Drosophila melanogaster: one gene and its partners. The protein of the gene in region 1 interacts with the protein of each later gene in a pairwise test. Each region holds a gene or a part of one and is shown in the gene's direction. Other genes may lie near its edges.

Region 1 (4,807 bases):
CCGGAGCGGCGTACGCGGTGACCGCCGCCTGTGCCCGCGGCAACATCTCCACCTGCGGCTGTGATGTGCGGCACAAAGCCACGCCCACTGGCGGCGGTACGCCCGACGAGCCCTGGAAGTGGGGCGGCTGCTCGGCGGACGTGGACTTTGGGATGCGGTATGCGCGCAGATTCATGGATGCCCGCGAATTGGAGCGCGACTCCCGCACGCTGATGAACCTGCACAATAACCGAGCAGGGAGAACGGTGCGCATGCATAAAATTTAATAATAAATATGGCCTAGTTAATAGTTATGTTTTTCTCTTATCAGCTGGTCAAGAAGATGCTGCGCACGGACTGCAAGTGCCATGGCGTCAGTGGCTCCTGCGTGATGAAGACCTGCTGGAAGAGCCTGCCGCCCTTTCGACTGGTTGGCGATAGACTCATGCTGAAGTATCAAAAAGCCAAAACTGTTCAAGCCGTCAAAGGCAAACGTGGACTGAGATTAGTATTAAGCAGGTGAGAAATGGGAATCTTGCAAGATGTTGCATGATATGTAGGCAATAATCTAATGGCTAAATAAGTATTCTTCTAAAAAGAATAAAACACATAGTAGTCATTAAGTCCTTTTTAAATGCAATATGTTTGCTGTGCCTTCTGTAGCACGGTATAATATCAACACATTTTCGATCCCACATATTAACACATACCTCTTTCCACTTTTAATTTCTTGCAGAAAGAAGCATGCCGGCACCGCTCGTGCCCAGAAACCGGTCCTCGATTGGCCGAAGCGCATGGAGCTGATCTACCTGGAGGCGTCGCCCAACTACTGCGAGCGAAGTCTGCAGACGGGCAGCCAGGGCACCTCAGGTCGGACCTGCCAGCGGACCGGCCACGGCCCCCAGAGCTGCGATCTGCTCTGCTGTGGGCGTGGCCACAACACGCAGCACATTCGAAGGACCACGCAGTGCCGCTGCCAATTCCGCTGGTGCTGCGAGGTCAAGTGTGACGAGTGCGACGAGAGCTACGAGGAGTTCACCTGTAAATAGACGGGTAGCGGGAGCATATCGCTAGAACTAGGGCTATGTCATAGGAAATGCGTTGATTAAGTATTATGAGAAATGTATTACAACCGCAGATACGCACCGCGCCACCATACAGACACATTCCAGAATAAACGTAACAAGTTAACATCCCCAACGAATACTGTCTTATTATTAAGTTCGTATAATTCAAATAAGTATTTAAGTTTTCTTAGAAAAGAACCTTCTGCAAAAAAGCTAATCTAGGTGAGCTGATACATTCAGTCTGCTGTTTCAGATTTCTTATTCCTTAAAAATAGTTTCCAAAATAATGAAATCCAAATCTTTAAGAATCTATAATCTGTTCTTATAGAAAACTGTTCCTAAAACCAACGAGTTCATAGTCTAATTTTGAGGGCGGTTTGAATAGTTGGCGCGCAGCATTGCCAACGCTGAATGTGGAGCAATACGTAAGACCCACATTCGTTTAGCGTAACGCAATGCGCTGGCTCCATATTTTGGTATTGGAATTCCGGAATCCATTAAGCTGGCAGCTCGAGATGCCAGCACTCACTGAACTGCGCGAGCGCCGAAAGGAAAATTCATTGATTGCAATCGCGCGCTCTCCGGCTAGCTCTCCCTATGCCTAGGCCAGGAGGAAAGCAGAGGGTGGTCGGTAAGGAAAAGTTGGAAAACTCACCACTTGCCAGCGAATCGGCGACTATATTAGCAACTGGCTTGCACGAGCCGTGCTCAGTTCTTTGAGGGTAGTTAGTTGGACAACGGCGTTGCCGAAAACGGGCCACCTCAGCTGCCGCACAATACATTTTTGGGTTAGGAACACACATAGACACGAATACCAATACACTCCCGCATGCACACACACATACACACACGCGCAGTATATGTATCTGGCCGAGAAATGTATAAGGCCAAGAAAAGTCCAACTTAATTGCATTCGCAGCGGAGAAAAGTGAAAGAATAGCGCGAGAAAATTCCATTGACTGGCGAAAAGTGCTTCGATCAAATGCATAAAGTCCCCGTTAGTGTGTGTGTATGTGTGCGAGTGAGTGAGTGTGCGTGAATGGCAGCACTAGCGCTAGAGGCTGCTCCCTGGATACAGAAAAGTGATTTCCTGCAAAAAGTGCGAAAAAAGCGAGTTAAAAGCAAATCGAGCTGGCCAAAAAGCCGCCTATAGCGCTCAAAATCGTGTGACAAACTCAAGGAACCATTTCACACACACCCTTTATACGTATATATATATACAAATGTGCATTTGTGTATAGTATATCAGTGTGAAAGACCAACGTACAAACACACACTGTCAATCAAAAGGAGTCATCTGTCCCACTAAACGCTGCCTATCGATTGGGGCGAAAGCAAAAAAAAATTATTATAAATTGCTTCAACCTACATATAAGCCATGCGAGTTATACACACACACTCGCATTCGCACACCCACAAAACCGCACTCACACACACACACACACACATACGCATACGCCTACAAAGAGACATTAAGTTTGAAAAGCTATAAGCTGTATAACAGAGCCTAGAGCCGAGCGAATGAAGTGACGGAAGGTGGGGTGCCAGCATAATGTTGAGCCACCCAAACCACCCGCTCAGCTCCACCGCCCCTCGCCCCTCGCCACACGCCACTCCCCCCACAATCCCCTTTCGTTACGTCGAACCTTACGTTGTTCGTGAGCGTAACTCGTGCGTAGAACACTCTCCACTCCATTTTGCGGAGCACTCTTCAACTCCCTATCTCTCCGTATCGCTGTGTTTGCTGTGCCTGTGTGTGTGTGTGTGTGTGTGTGTTGGGCTCGAATGTGTGTCAGCGGGAACGAGTGTAAAAAATATCCTCGTTGGGCACGAAGCCACCAAACCACTTGGAAAAATAAATGAAACACAAAAAAACCCACTCAGTGAATGAAGACTTTAATTAGTTTAGCTGGAAACTCACGCGGTTTAATTATCCTCCCACACAGCCATGTACATAAAACAAAAGCCGTTTAAATCATAAACACAAAATGCAATTAGCCAGCGAGCGCACGCCACGAAAGTCAACAAACTAACTAAGCCAGTGTCATCAACTAAATTAGTGCAAGCAGCTAGCCGACCGGAACCGGAAATGCCCATTGAGCCGCCTGACAACAACCACAAACACAATCACAATCGCAGTCACCAGCACCATTGCATTGGCAACGGCCATAAAGACGAGCAACAAATCGCCCACACACACATGTAGTTGCAGCGCGAGTGCGTCAGTGTGTGCGGGCTCTGAAAACCGGAAGCGGAAGTCGAGGAGCAGCAGCAGGAGCAGGAGCAGGAGCAAGAGGATTAAACGAACGAGGAGGTGCAGTAGCAGGAGCAGCAGCTAGCTTAGCCAGTTTTTCATTCGCCCGCAGTTCGTTAAGGAAAATCATTCAAAATTCATCGCCTAAGCAAAGCGGGTGAGCTATTTAACCGTATTACGTATACGTAACGACACCCACACTGACACTGAGATACACACACATAAACGCACACACAACCAAAGAAACACGGCAAAAACTTCAATTTGTGATGTGAACCATAAGCGATATTGATTTCTGATTTGTGCGTATGCCTTGTGTAACAGGAGCCGCCATAATTTAATCGTAATCAGTTATAAGTAATCTGTTTTTGTGCCTGCCTTTGTTCTCTCTGTGTAACTTCTTTATCTCCTGTACGTATCTGTTGTGATTTCTTTCTTGTGATTTTACCGATGAATATGTCCAGCTGAATATAAAATACGATCCCCGATTATCTAGACCTAGTTGCAGTCCTAGAACGTAGTCGAGTAACTTAGTTTAGCGAGTAATTTTAGTCTGTTCTCCATGCATTACCCATACGCCCCGTTCAATCAATCAATCATCCGGAGATTGGCAAGCAATTTGAAAACTTATAATTAGATATGTGGATGGTGCCTTGTGGGGCAGGCTCGACGCATTCGATTTGCTCGCATGATTTGTCAGTTTTTTGTTCAGCTTTTTTGGGGGCCGGCCCAATCACCTCCTTTGCGTGTCAATGATGCGGTGTTTGCCTTTATTATTTACTTCTTTCGGCTGTTATTTGAGTTGCTTGCTCTAATTTTAGATCAGCCGAATAACTTTTATTGATTTCAAATTTCAACCTTATTTTACATGTGGTCTGAGTCAGTGTCTGTGTGTGTCTGTTGTGAGAGTCAGTGTGTGTGCGGGCGAAGAAAACGCCGCCAATCCATATATTGGGGCAGTGGTAACAACAAAATACGGCAAATATTTTACGATGACGCTATTGTTGTGAGCGGGAGCGAATGGAGAAAGCAGCCAGAGGAACGGAGAAAGGCGAGAGGAGAAAGGGAAGTGCGCTGGTGAGATGGCACGCATTTGCGCACTAGCCTCCCAGTGTGGTGAGTTCTCTCTCCGGCTTTCTCCGGGGACGCCTCTCGTTTTTTCGGAAGCTATTCAACATGTTTGTTTTGGGGTGGAGGCCCCCGGAGCAGATAGCCTGATAAGATGGCCTCCGGACGGACAACAATCGTAGTGGCTTCCAGTTTCAGCTTCAGCTCCAGGTCCCCCAAGTATGCAGCTAGAAGTGCAATCCGTCTCCCGCTCTCCGCATCTACATACATCTGGCAGTATGGCAGTATATATCTGGATATGTTTGCCCAGCAAAGTGCACTGCCTGGGGCTCCCTAATGGCATGGCGATGTAATCGAATCTGGGCCTGATATTTTATGGCCTGTCTGCCATATCCTGACCTCATCTGCTGCGCTTCCTCCATCTTTTTATGTCCCCATT
Region 2 (5,466 bases), on another chromosome or scaffold:
GAAAAATTCTTTTGTCCAAAACCTTTCGACTTCACTTCATTGTTCATTTGACCCTGTTTCACTCTGCCTCTGCCACTGTTCCTTTCCCCCGCCCCCTTATAATCCTGGTTTTGGCCATAGTCCAGCCACAGAAGGCTCATCATCGTCGTCGTCATCATTTGAATTCCTCGCCCGATTGTTGCAAGCAGCGCCTGTCGTTGTTGTTGTTGCCAGGACACGTGCATCGGCGAGCTTTGCAGTTGACATTCCGTTACGCACGTTGCCTCCATTTGGTCCTTGTTCTTGTTTTTACTGCTGCTGCTGCTGCTGCTGCTGCTGTCGGTGTCGTTGTCGTTGTCTAGGCAACATGCAATGTGCAATGCTAAAGTTTTTGTGATGCAAGTGCGTAGTTTACTCACAATAAGGCTCGTTGGGACTGTCCAGCGATGTTGGGTATTCGACGTGCGGGGATTTTTTTTTATGGGGGAAAAGCTCACTCAAAGTTGGCAAAGGAGCTGTGGCCCATGCTCGGGTTAACTAACTATGCCAATGCAGGACCATAACCAAAAAGTGCGTCACTACCGAATATTAGCTACTCTATTATATGTTCAAGTGTATTTGGTTTTTCGAAATATTGATAGGAGAATACTGGTATCTAGAATTGCTCATCTTCCATCTTCATCTTTTTCTTACCAAAATAGCTATTTCCAGTATAATTTGTAGAAGAACTAACCAGGAATGGGCTAACCTACTTTTGTAGTTAGGGCGATACTTACTTGCTTTACAAATGAATGTCTGCACAGCACAAATCAAATAATCAATAAATCTTATAACTATTTAAACTTAAATGTATTTACTCATAATAAACAACCAAGTAAATATACCCAAATAGGTAATTATTACTTCAAAGTGATAAGTATAAGCATGCAAACAGCCCATCTCGATCCCACTGCAGAGTTGAGTGCTTGCAAAAGCTCGTCACGTCATAAGCGGCAACAGTTGGGTTCAGTTTCTGGTTCTGTGTGCTCAGAACGCAGTGCCCCACTGTGAGAGCGAAGGGAAGAAGGGGTGGGACAGTCAGCTGGGGGTCGATTCGGGGTGGGGGCTCGGCTCGTTCTCGGCGCAGAGCTAGAAGTGCAGGCAACCGTGGGCAGAGTGCCACACTTATGCTCACACAAGCACCCAAGCACACAGTCGCCCCTTCGCACACACACACACACACACATACAGATCGACAGCTTTGTATTGACGCACTTGAACGGGCTGTTTCTAGTTACCGATTCACAGTACACGCTTCTACACTGGGAGAAAATATGCATGTCCGCAAAATCCTTATCAACTCTCGAATCTTTTCTCGCAGCCATTATAACGAGTTTTAATACTAAATATGCATAGAAATTCAAAATATAAACAATAACAAAAACAAAAACGATATTTGGATGTTATAGAACACTCTTAGTTTTAGCCTGCGTTTGGTTTTGCCCAACTTAAACTTTGGTTATAATATATATAATATATGGAAGTAAGTACTTTTTTTCAGTGTGCGGTTCCCACAGGTCTCTTTCTCGCCATCTCTGTTGCACTCACCGTACTTATGCGATTCATTTTAGCTTATAACGCCGAACACGGGGAACGTTGAGCTGCAGTTGTAGAAACGTTCTCAGCACTCAAATTTCGCATTCACATTCTCATTCGTCAATTAGTTGCCGGCGCGAGCGAATCGTGAGTGCGGAAAAAAGAAAATCTTTTCATCAGCTGGAAAACTGTTCTTCCCGATCAAAACTGGGATTCGGGAGATTTTTGAAGCCCAAAAGCAGGGAACTCCTCACTGATGGCCACGCGAGGGGCGAATGTGATTTGGTTTCGCCATGGATTGCGCCTCCATGATAATCCCGCTCTATTGGCCGCCCTCGCCGATAAGGATCAGGGTATAGCCCTAATTCCCGTTTTCATATTCGATGGAGAGAGTGCAGGTAAGAACTGAGTTTTCGAAAATTTTATTTCGTTGCGCACACATACATGTAGGTATCCAAATTAAATTGATTACAGGTAACCTTGAACTTACCTTGCACTTTCCTAAGTTATTACTTCAAAACTTTTATATGAGATATGGATATCTCATGGAGATATATTTAAAATATTAAGATAATCTTAAAATAATTAATAGATAGCAAAACATCAAAGATAAAATATTATATCTATATATATTTGCTCATACAAAATCATCAGAAGTTTGTGTAAAAATAGATTTTTGGAAAGAGTTTGAAAATTCAACAAAATTAAAATAAAAAACCGTTGGCAACAGAGGGTTAAAATAAATACTTTTAGTTTGATTGCTATTACACGCTCATTCTCCGTATGAGCTAATATCATTTTTTGCGACTTGCATCGGTTATCACATACCACCTCTTTCCGCGACCGCTGCGAATTCAGCGTTTTCGCTGCTTGTGAAAATGGAAAGAGGGCGAGAGCTGCAGGGGCGGAAAATGGAGGGAAAACCTAATGCACTTTTGCATGGTAGAGCAAAACAAACGATGCGCCCTAATGCCATTTGTGGCTGGCGGTTTTGAGAATTTTCCGTCGAATCGCTGGGAGAGAGATATAGAAAGACAATGCAAAATGGGTAGAGACATTGAGTGCAAACCAGAATAGCAGTATAATGCTTGTGTTTAAACAGCTCGCTCACGGAAAAAGTCGGCGAGAAACGGGGATACCTATAGAACCCATCACTTGACCGATAAGCGTCGTTTTGTGGGTAAAAGCGTGAAAACAAATATTACAATGGAAAATGGGCTAAACTGAACCATTTGTTTGCACAAAAGCTGAAAATTTATCTAAAAGGTGGCACTTAAACACACAAACTTGTTTTGAATTCCTAGTTTTGCGAAAATTGTGCACGAAAAAACTTTGAAAATGCATAATTTTTTTTAAATTTATAAATCTTATAAAACCGTTAAATGCTCTTCCTTAACAGGTACCAAGAATGTGGGTTACAATCGGATGCGTTTCCTCCTGGACTCGTTGCAGGACATCGATGATCAGCTACAGGCGGCAACTGATGGACGTGGACGCCTCCTGGTCTTCGAGGGCGAACCGGCTTATATCTTCCGCCGGCTACATGAGCAAGTGCGTCTGCACAGGATTTGCATAGAGCAGGACTGCGAGCCAATTTGGAATGAGCGCGATGAAAGCATCCGTTCTCTATGTCGGGAGCTGAATATCGACTTTGTCGAGAAGGTATCACACACGCTTTGGGATCCGCAATTGGTGATTGAGACCAATGGTGGCATTCCACCGCTGACCTACCAAATGTTCCTGGTGAGTTTAAAGCTCAGTTCTCTAGTTATAATATTCTTTTGAGAATATATCTTTAAAATAAATGTAAAAATATAACTATCTGAAAATTATATAGTCACTGAAAGATACTAATTATTTACATCAAATTATATTTTCGTTTATTTTATTATGTTTTAGCACACGGTGCAAATTATTGGGCTTCCACCGCGTCCCACCGCCGATGCTCGACTAGAAGACGCCACCTTTGTCGAGCTGGACCCCGAGTTCTGCCGAAGTCTTAAGTTGTTCGAGCAGCTGCCCACGCCGGAGCACTTCAATGTGTATGGAGACAACATGGGCTTCCTGGCCAAGATTAACTGGCGCGGCGGAGAAACACAGGCCTTACTTCTGTTGGATGAGCGTCTTAAAGTGGAGCAGCATGCGTTTGAGCGTGGATTTTATCTGCCCAACCAGGCACTGCCCAATATCCACGACTCGCCAAAATCGATGAGCGCCCATCTGCGCTTTGGTTGCCTTTCGGTACGTCGCTTCTACTGGAGCGTCCACGATCTCTTCAAGAATGTCCAGTTGCGCGCCTGTGTGCGGGGCGTTCAGATGACTGGCGGCGCGCACATCACGGGACAGTTGATCTGGCGAGAGTACTTCTACACCATGTCGGTGAACAATCCAAACTACGATCGCATGGAGGGCAATGACATCTGCCTGAGCATCCCGTGGGCTAAGCCGAACGAAAATCTCCTGCAGAGCTGGCGTTTAGGCCAAACGGGATTCCCGCTCATCGACGGCGCCATGCGACAACTCCTGGCCGAGGGATGGCTCCACCATACGCTGCGCAACACCGTGGCCACCTTTCTCACGCGCGGCGGTTTGTGGCAGAGCTGGGAGCATGGACTGCAGCACTTTCTGAAGTATCTGCTGGATGCGGATTGGTCGGTCTGCGCTGGCAACTGGATGTGGGTATCCAGCTCGGCGTTTGAAAGGCTGCTGGACTCCTCCCTGGTCACCTGCCCGGTGGCATTGGCCAAGCGACTTGATCCGGATGGCACCTACATCAAGCAGTACGTCCCGGAGTTGATGAATGTGCCCAAGGAATTTGTGTAAGTTTATATAATGAAAATTCCATATAACAATTTAAGTACTTAGATATAATAAAAATACTGATGGTATACTTGTCGTATACGCAATATATGATGACTCCTTTGTCGTCTTTACTTATGATTCGTTAAAGTGTTCAACAATCTCAAGCAACCATTTGAACTATATATATTTTTAATTCGTTTATTCGTGCTTTTGTTATATTTTTTAAATTATAAATCCCATTTTATATTTTCAGTCACGAGCCCTGGCGAATGTCTGCCGAGCAGCAGGAGCAGTACGAGTGCCTGATCGGAGTCCATTATCCGGAGCGGATCATTGATTTGTCCATGGCCGTAAAGCGAAACATGCTGGCCATGAAGTCTCTCCGAAATTCGCTGATCACCCCGCCGCCGCATTGCCGACCATCCAACGAGGAGGAAGTGCGTCAGTTCTTCTGGCTGGCCGACGTGGTGGTTTGAAGGAGTACAAGTGGGATGACCAATCCAATTTTAATTCGATTTCACAATAAAGAAACTATTACCAGTGAAATATTATATATAATTAATAATGCTTTATTTTCTTCAATTAAAATAAGTACTACAATACAATTTGTATCCGTTTTATTTGGTTTCGTTTTACTTTTAACAGCTTATAACGTGTTACTCATATATCAATTTTATTCAGCTTATTTTAAAAATCGTTTATGGTGTATATATATATAATTATTATTATCATCTGTATTACGTTGTCAAATTATACGTTAATTAACAGCATTAATTAAATAGTTTTTGCTTTTAATTGGGTCTTTCATACGAGAAAAATTGAACGCGAAGTATTTCAAATATTGAAATTTATTTTATGTCGATCTATTGATCCTGGCTTCGTTTGCCTTTCGTTTAATGAGAGATTCTATCTTTATAATTTGTCTAAATTGTTGTGTATATTTTATTTTAATGCCTAAATTTTGGTGTTCCTTCTAGATGTGTGCCTTTCGAATGAGATATTGGTAGGGGTTGATGGGACCTAAAAGGAGTTATTGTTGAAGTTTGAGTCCCTCGACAGTTTGCTACAAATAAAGTTTGAGAAAATCTAAACTCGACCACGCCGAGCTTT
Region 3 (4,826 bases), on another chromosome or scaffold:
TCGTCGCAGTACTCGATGTCGAGCTCATGCAGCGTCTCGATGTGCTCGTTCACGAAGGCAATGGGCACAAGGATGAAGTTCTTCAGGCCTTGCTTAACATAGCCCTGTAAAGATGGGATTGGTTTTAGTGGATGGGAATGGAAATCCGGCATTAAAGTTACACCTTAATGGCATCATCAGTTGCGGGCGCCAGCCAGGGTAGCGGGCCCACCTTGGATTGCCATGCCAGGCTGTAGGGATTCGTCTGACCAAGTTCCTGCATCACCATGTGTACGCTAGCACCAATCTCCGAGGGATACGCGTCACCCCGGTTCACAGCCTTAAGGGGAAGGGAGTGGGCAGTGAAGAGGATGACCACATCATTTCGTTTCGTTTCCACAAATTTGGCCAGCTCGTCGCGAATTCGCTGGGCAAACGTTTTGATTAGAAGTGGATGAGTGCCCCACCTGTCGATAATGCTCCATTTGATATCCGAGGGCAGATTACTAAAGAGGTAGAGGGGATCAAATAAATAGCTGCAATTGTGCATTTCTAACTCACTTGCTCCGATAATGAGTAAATATGGAGTTAAAGCTGGATCCGGAGGTGGCGCAGCTGTACTGTGGATATTGTGAAAAGAGTACAACGCGCTCTGGTTTGTCCCTGTAAATATGTTAAAATATTAACATGTATTCTTTAAGTAGCGCAAATGACCATAATTTCCAGGTTTAGGTTTCAGTAATTTGTCCAAGAAGTCAACTGATAATAGCAGGACATTGAAACATGCATAAGAAGTCAGAAGTCTATACAAACTTATTTACTAGAACATATCTTATTGTGAGAGTCCGTAGCAATATATATAGGTCAATTTCACGACCTTCGGATTATTTACATCACTCTTGTTCTACTTCTCGACTACACTCACTTTTCGATCTCGGCCAGCGTGTTCTCAGTGAGGGGATTCACGTAGCGGAAACCGACGTAGTGCTTGTGAGGTGCTGTCTCCGGGGAGATTCTGTCCAACTGCTCGCACATGAGCTGGCCCTGCAGCTCGGTCCACTTAAGAATCGGTGAACCACCGCCGATCTCCTTGTACTTCTTCTGTACCTCGGGCGTCCTGCGCTGGGCGATCCACGGACCAAGACGGCTCTGCACCGGCAGCTGGATCATGTCCCGGTCGGTCATAATACGCAGGAGGTAGTCATGCACCTGGTCCGTGTGGGTCGGACCGCCCATGTTCAGCATTAGGATCGCGGTCTTCGGTTTTTGGCCGCTCAGGTTGCGCACTCCTCCTGCCAGACCACCTGTTGGGGAATATGTAGGAATGTCGTGGGAACTGTATCCACTCGTATACTCACTTGCCAGTCTGCAAAACTTTGTGTTATGCAAAAACATAGTTCCTTTTAAATTGACCCAAATTGATGGCACCGGTGTCGAATAGTGTTACCAGTTGCTAAAATAGTTTAAATACCAAAATGTATGATCTCACAGATTCTAGAGTTTTTCCAAACGTAACAGAGTTCTGTAAAAAGTAACCGTCACGCCATCTATGTGTGTAAAATAGCTGCCAACTATTACTCAACAGTAATCTAAATATTTAAAAATTTTTCCTTTTGTTACACATTTACCATTTAATTTCTCTTTATTGAAACCGAAACCAATATTTGGTATATACTGTTCTTCAAGCGACCAACAGAAATTTTTCGCGCATGCGTCCTTATTTCTTTCCCTTGTCATCAACGCTGCGTGCAACGGTAAAAGCTGACTGTGGTGCAGTCTCGCTCTTGCACGCTGCATTTCGCTCTCGTCGCTTGCTGCGAGTGTTTCGTTTCCTCCGATCAAATAATATTTTGTAGTTTTTCCACCGAATGCAGGCACAATTGCTTCGTAAAAACGCAATAAAAGGCGCGGCCCATGGTCCGAAAAGATAAGAAAGCTTGAAAAACAACCGAAAGTGTCGTTTAACATCGGAGAAAAGCAAAAGGACAAGCGGCGCAGCACAGTGAAAAAAACGTAGGAAGTTTTGGAGTGAGTGAGAGGGAAGGAGTTCCACCGCGGTGGTGGGTGTACGTGCGCGAGTATTGGTGATGTGTCCATGTCCGTGTTATCGCCACCAGCATTAAAGTGCTCCAATTCGTGGCGCACGCGCAGAATAACTAGCGCTCTCTTGCTCTCTTTCTCGACTTAGAAGAGGAACAGGATATTTTATTATACTGAAATTCCTACTCAGGAAATTCGCATAGTTGCGAAAGCTTCGCGCTGCCACACGGACGCATTCCGCTACGGGTTCCCCGCACCACCCACACACTCTCACACCCGCCTGCCGCGAGCCCACACACCGCGCCCGCAAGCACTCTCGCGCACAGATCAATGAAAAGGCCAAAAAATAAATTGCACCTTTTCCGGGAACCAAAAACATGTTGAAATTATCTCACAAGTTACGCAAAAAATGCCGCAGCAAAAAAGTTGCATGGGATGCCGTGAATGCGACGAAAGTGTGAAACGAAACGAAAGGCAACGAAAGACGGTGCAGAAAGGAGCAAAGAGAGGCTGCAAGGATGTACTGCTTCTCAAAATCCCAAGCCATTGACCACCGAATCAGCGATAAGTCTCTAACAACAAAAACCTGCACCTAGCCAATTGCATTTTGCATTCGCATTCTTACTGCCCCGGAAGTAAAAGCAGCTTCAGCGGAAATTAAAACCAATCAAAGCCGAAATAAAAGGTAACGCTAGCGAGCGAAAGAGATAGACATTTTTAGAGAAAAAGAGAGAGCAAGAGAGAGCTACCATAGAGAGCAAGTGCATCCTTTTCACAACGCGGCACACATTTACGACCGGTGACTGCAACTAGCCCACTCCCATACCTCCGCCCCTCTTCAACCCGACCCCAGTTGTCCCTTGCAATTTGTGATCTCACGTTTTCATAACTTGGGCAGTAGCCGTTGGCACGGATTAGACGCAAAACGTCAAGCATTAGGACGTCAGGAGAAACGCAGTTCCACAGTGCAGGTGAGTTTTCAACAAAGGGACCTATCCAGGAAACTCACTGGCGGCTATGCATTTAGTTAATTAAAAAACTATTTGAAGGGTGAAAAGTCCATCATAGGAAATGACCTTGTCGCTATCAAATTCGGCTGTGCTTGATAAGGCTCCCACAACTCGAATAAGCGATCATTTGTGGCAAGTGTGATTATGCGCAATTTTCTGTTAAAACAAATCCTGTTTCCAGAACTTCTAATGCTTTGTTGGTTAGCGTTATTTTGCCTTTTACTAAAAACCTTTTGAAAGAAAAGGAAACGTCTTCTGATAGGCTATCATCATTCATTGTAGTCATTGGAGGTGGAGGTTCCAATTTAATCGTAAGAAAACATGGCATATCGTCAAATCAATTCGAGCAAATGTAATATAAGCGGTGTCTATTCCAGCAGCAAATTATTTCAAGATCTCCTCTATTACACACAAGAGATGAAGATCTAGGATATATACGACTAGGTGAGAGGAACAGAAAGCAAAACATTTACCGCGACATTAACAATCAAAAATCTTGTTTGGACGCTTTTTATGCTCAAAGCCCCCATAACTTTTTACACCCCGAATCGCCCCTTCAGTCCGCCAAACTACCCCCAAGCTAAAAGCTTTGCTCCAATTTACCAGCAAACAGAGAACTTTGTGTGGAGCCCCATACCATACAAATAATTTAAAAAAGCTGAGCCGCACAACTATCTTAATTTTATGTTAGAACTAAAGCCCCTTGTATAAAAAAAATGATAGCAAGCCTCTTACGGTAGCCAAAAATGGATTTCCATAGAGACCATTAAAATCGCTTGGTACTTTTTGTTGTATTAATTTACGTTGTTATTTATTAACTTATTTTAAGGCAGTATTGTTCACATATAGAAAATCTTTAAACAGAAAGTTATTTTTAAAATTGCATATTATTTTGTTTGGTCCTTATGTGTGTGGTATAAGCCGAGCTGTAATACAACATGTGGATGGCGACTTCCATTCTGTGCAGCCATAATTCCATCTTTTTGATTCTGCCCTCACTAATTAGATAAATTCACAGTTTCCCCGCAACTTTGCTAGTTTTTATGGTTTCGAGCATATTTTTGGCATTTTAATGCGACTTCTATCCGTCGTCCAAATGGCGAGTTGGGAGCTCCAAATTCGGAGTTGCGAGTTTCTAGTTGCGGGTTGCTGGTGGCATGTTGCACAGTCGTCAGGTGAGTCAGCTGAGCACCGGCAGAAAGGACCACATGGCGCGAAGCGACTGCACTGAAAATTGGGGTTTTACCATGCAGATAATGGGATCCGATCTGAAAAGTAAATGATCGTAATATCGGTTGTCAAGAGCTGCGAGTCAGTTGTGGGGCCTTTTCGCGTTACAATTATAAGCTGAGCCGATAAATATAACTTCTAAAAGAAAGAGTATCCTTTTTTTGCCTCAGTGGGTGTGCAGTCGCATGAGCGTGCGGCAAAGCCCAGTGGGTGTGGGTGGGATGGTGGGTTTGCGGGTTAGGGTCCGACGGTCCCCAGTGGTGGGTCTGTGTTTCTTCTTTCGATGTATATTCCTTTGTCGGGTGCTACTAACCAGTCAAAGTGTGGAAAAGGGACTCATGGGGATGTGGCGTTGTGGATAAACTTCAACGCAGCAATAACCATACCAAACCAAATAATGCCATGATGGGGTTACAACTGAGCCCAAAGAGGGAAATCGATAAATCTGCCTGTCGTCATTGTAGCACTGCCTCAAGTAAAAATAATTTTAAAGTTTAAAATTCATATCGATATCTTATTAAATTCGGTTTTCACTATTTATGACAATTTCGTAATATTTGGATTCTG

Evidence for each region. Proteins that work in one complex are often made in the same cells at the same time.
Region 2: the proteins of brp (region 1) and cry interact in a two-hybrid assay, tested with the Drosophila melanogaster proteins (one study listed by BioGRID).
Region 3: the proteins of brp (region 1) and RhoGAP100F interact in a two-hybrid assay, tested with the Drosophila melanogaster proteins (one study listed by BioGRID).

Annotation. Positions count from the first base shown.
Region 1 is NT_033778.4:9,502,012-9,506,818, forward strand, and holds the start of brp (bruchpilot), read left to right. Parts: upstream 1-1,753; 5' UTR 1,754-1,834; intron 1,835-2,992; 5' UTR 2,993-3,457; intron 3,458-4,807. Other genes in the region: Wnt2 (Wnt oncogene analog 2), read left to right, coding at 1-245, 311-498, 716-1,028.
Region 2 is NT_033777.3:19,210,531-19,215,996, forward strand, and holds cry (cryptochrome), read left to right. Parts: upstream 1-1,623; 5' UTR 1,624-1,810; coding exon 1,811-1,952; intron 1,953-2,028; exon of another isoform or gene 2,029-2,197; intron 2,198-2,953; coding exon 2,954-3,297; intron 3,298-3,453; coding exon 3,454-4,373; intron 4,374-4,609; coding exon 4,610-4,832; 3' UTR 4,833-4,912; downstream 4,913-5,466. UniProt on the Drosophila melanogaster protein: Blue light-dependent regulator that is the input of the circadian feedback loop. Has no photolyase activity for cyclobutane pyrimidine dimers or 6-4 photoproducts.
Region 3 is NT_033777.3:31,810,837-31,815,662, forward strand, and holds the start of RhoGAP100F (Rho GTPase activating protein at 100F), read left to right. Parts: upstream 1-1,772; 5' UTR 1,773-2,990; intron 2,991-4,826. Other genes in the region: FeCH (ferrochelatase), read right to left, coding at 1-104, 164-485, 541-642, 905-1,283, 1,338-1,374. UniProt on the Drosophila melanogaster protein: GTPase activator for the Rho-type GTPases by converting them to an inactive GDP-bound state. Promotes the anchoring of Liprin-alpha clusters at synapses. Recruits and keeps Nrx-1 levels high in active zones in the presynapse opposite the postsynaptic region.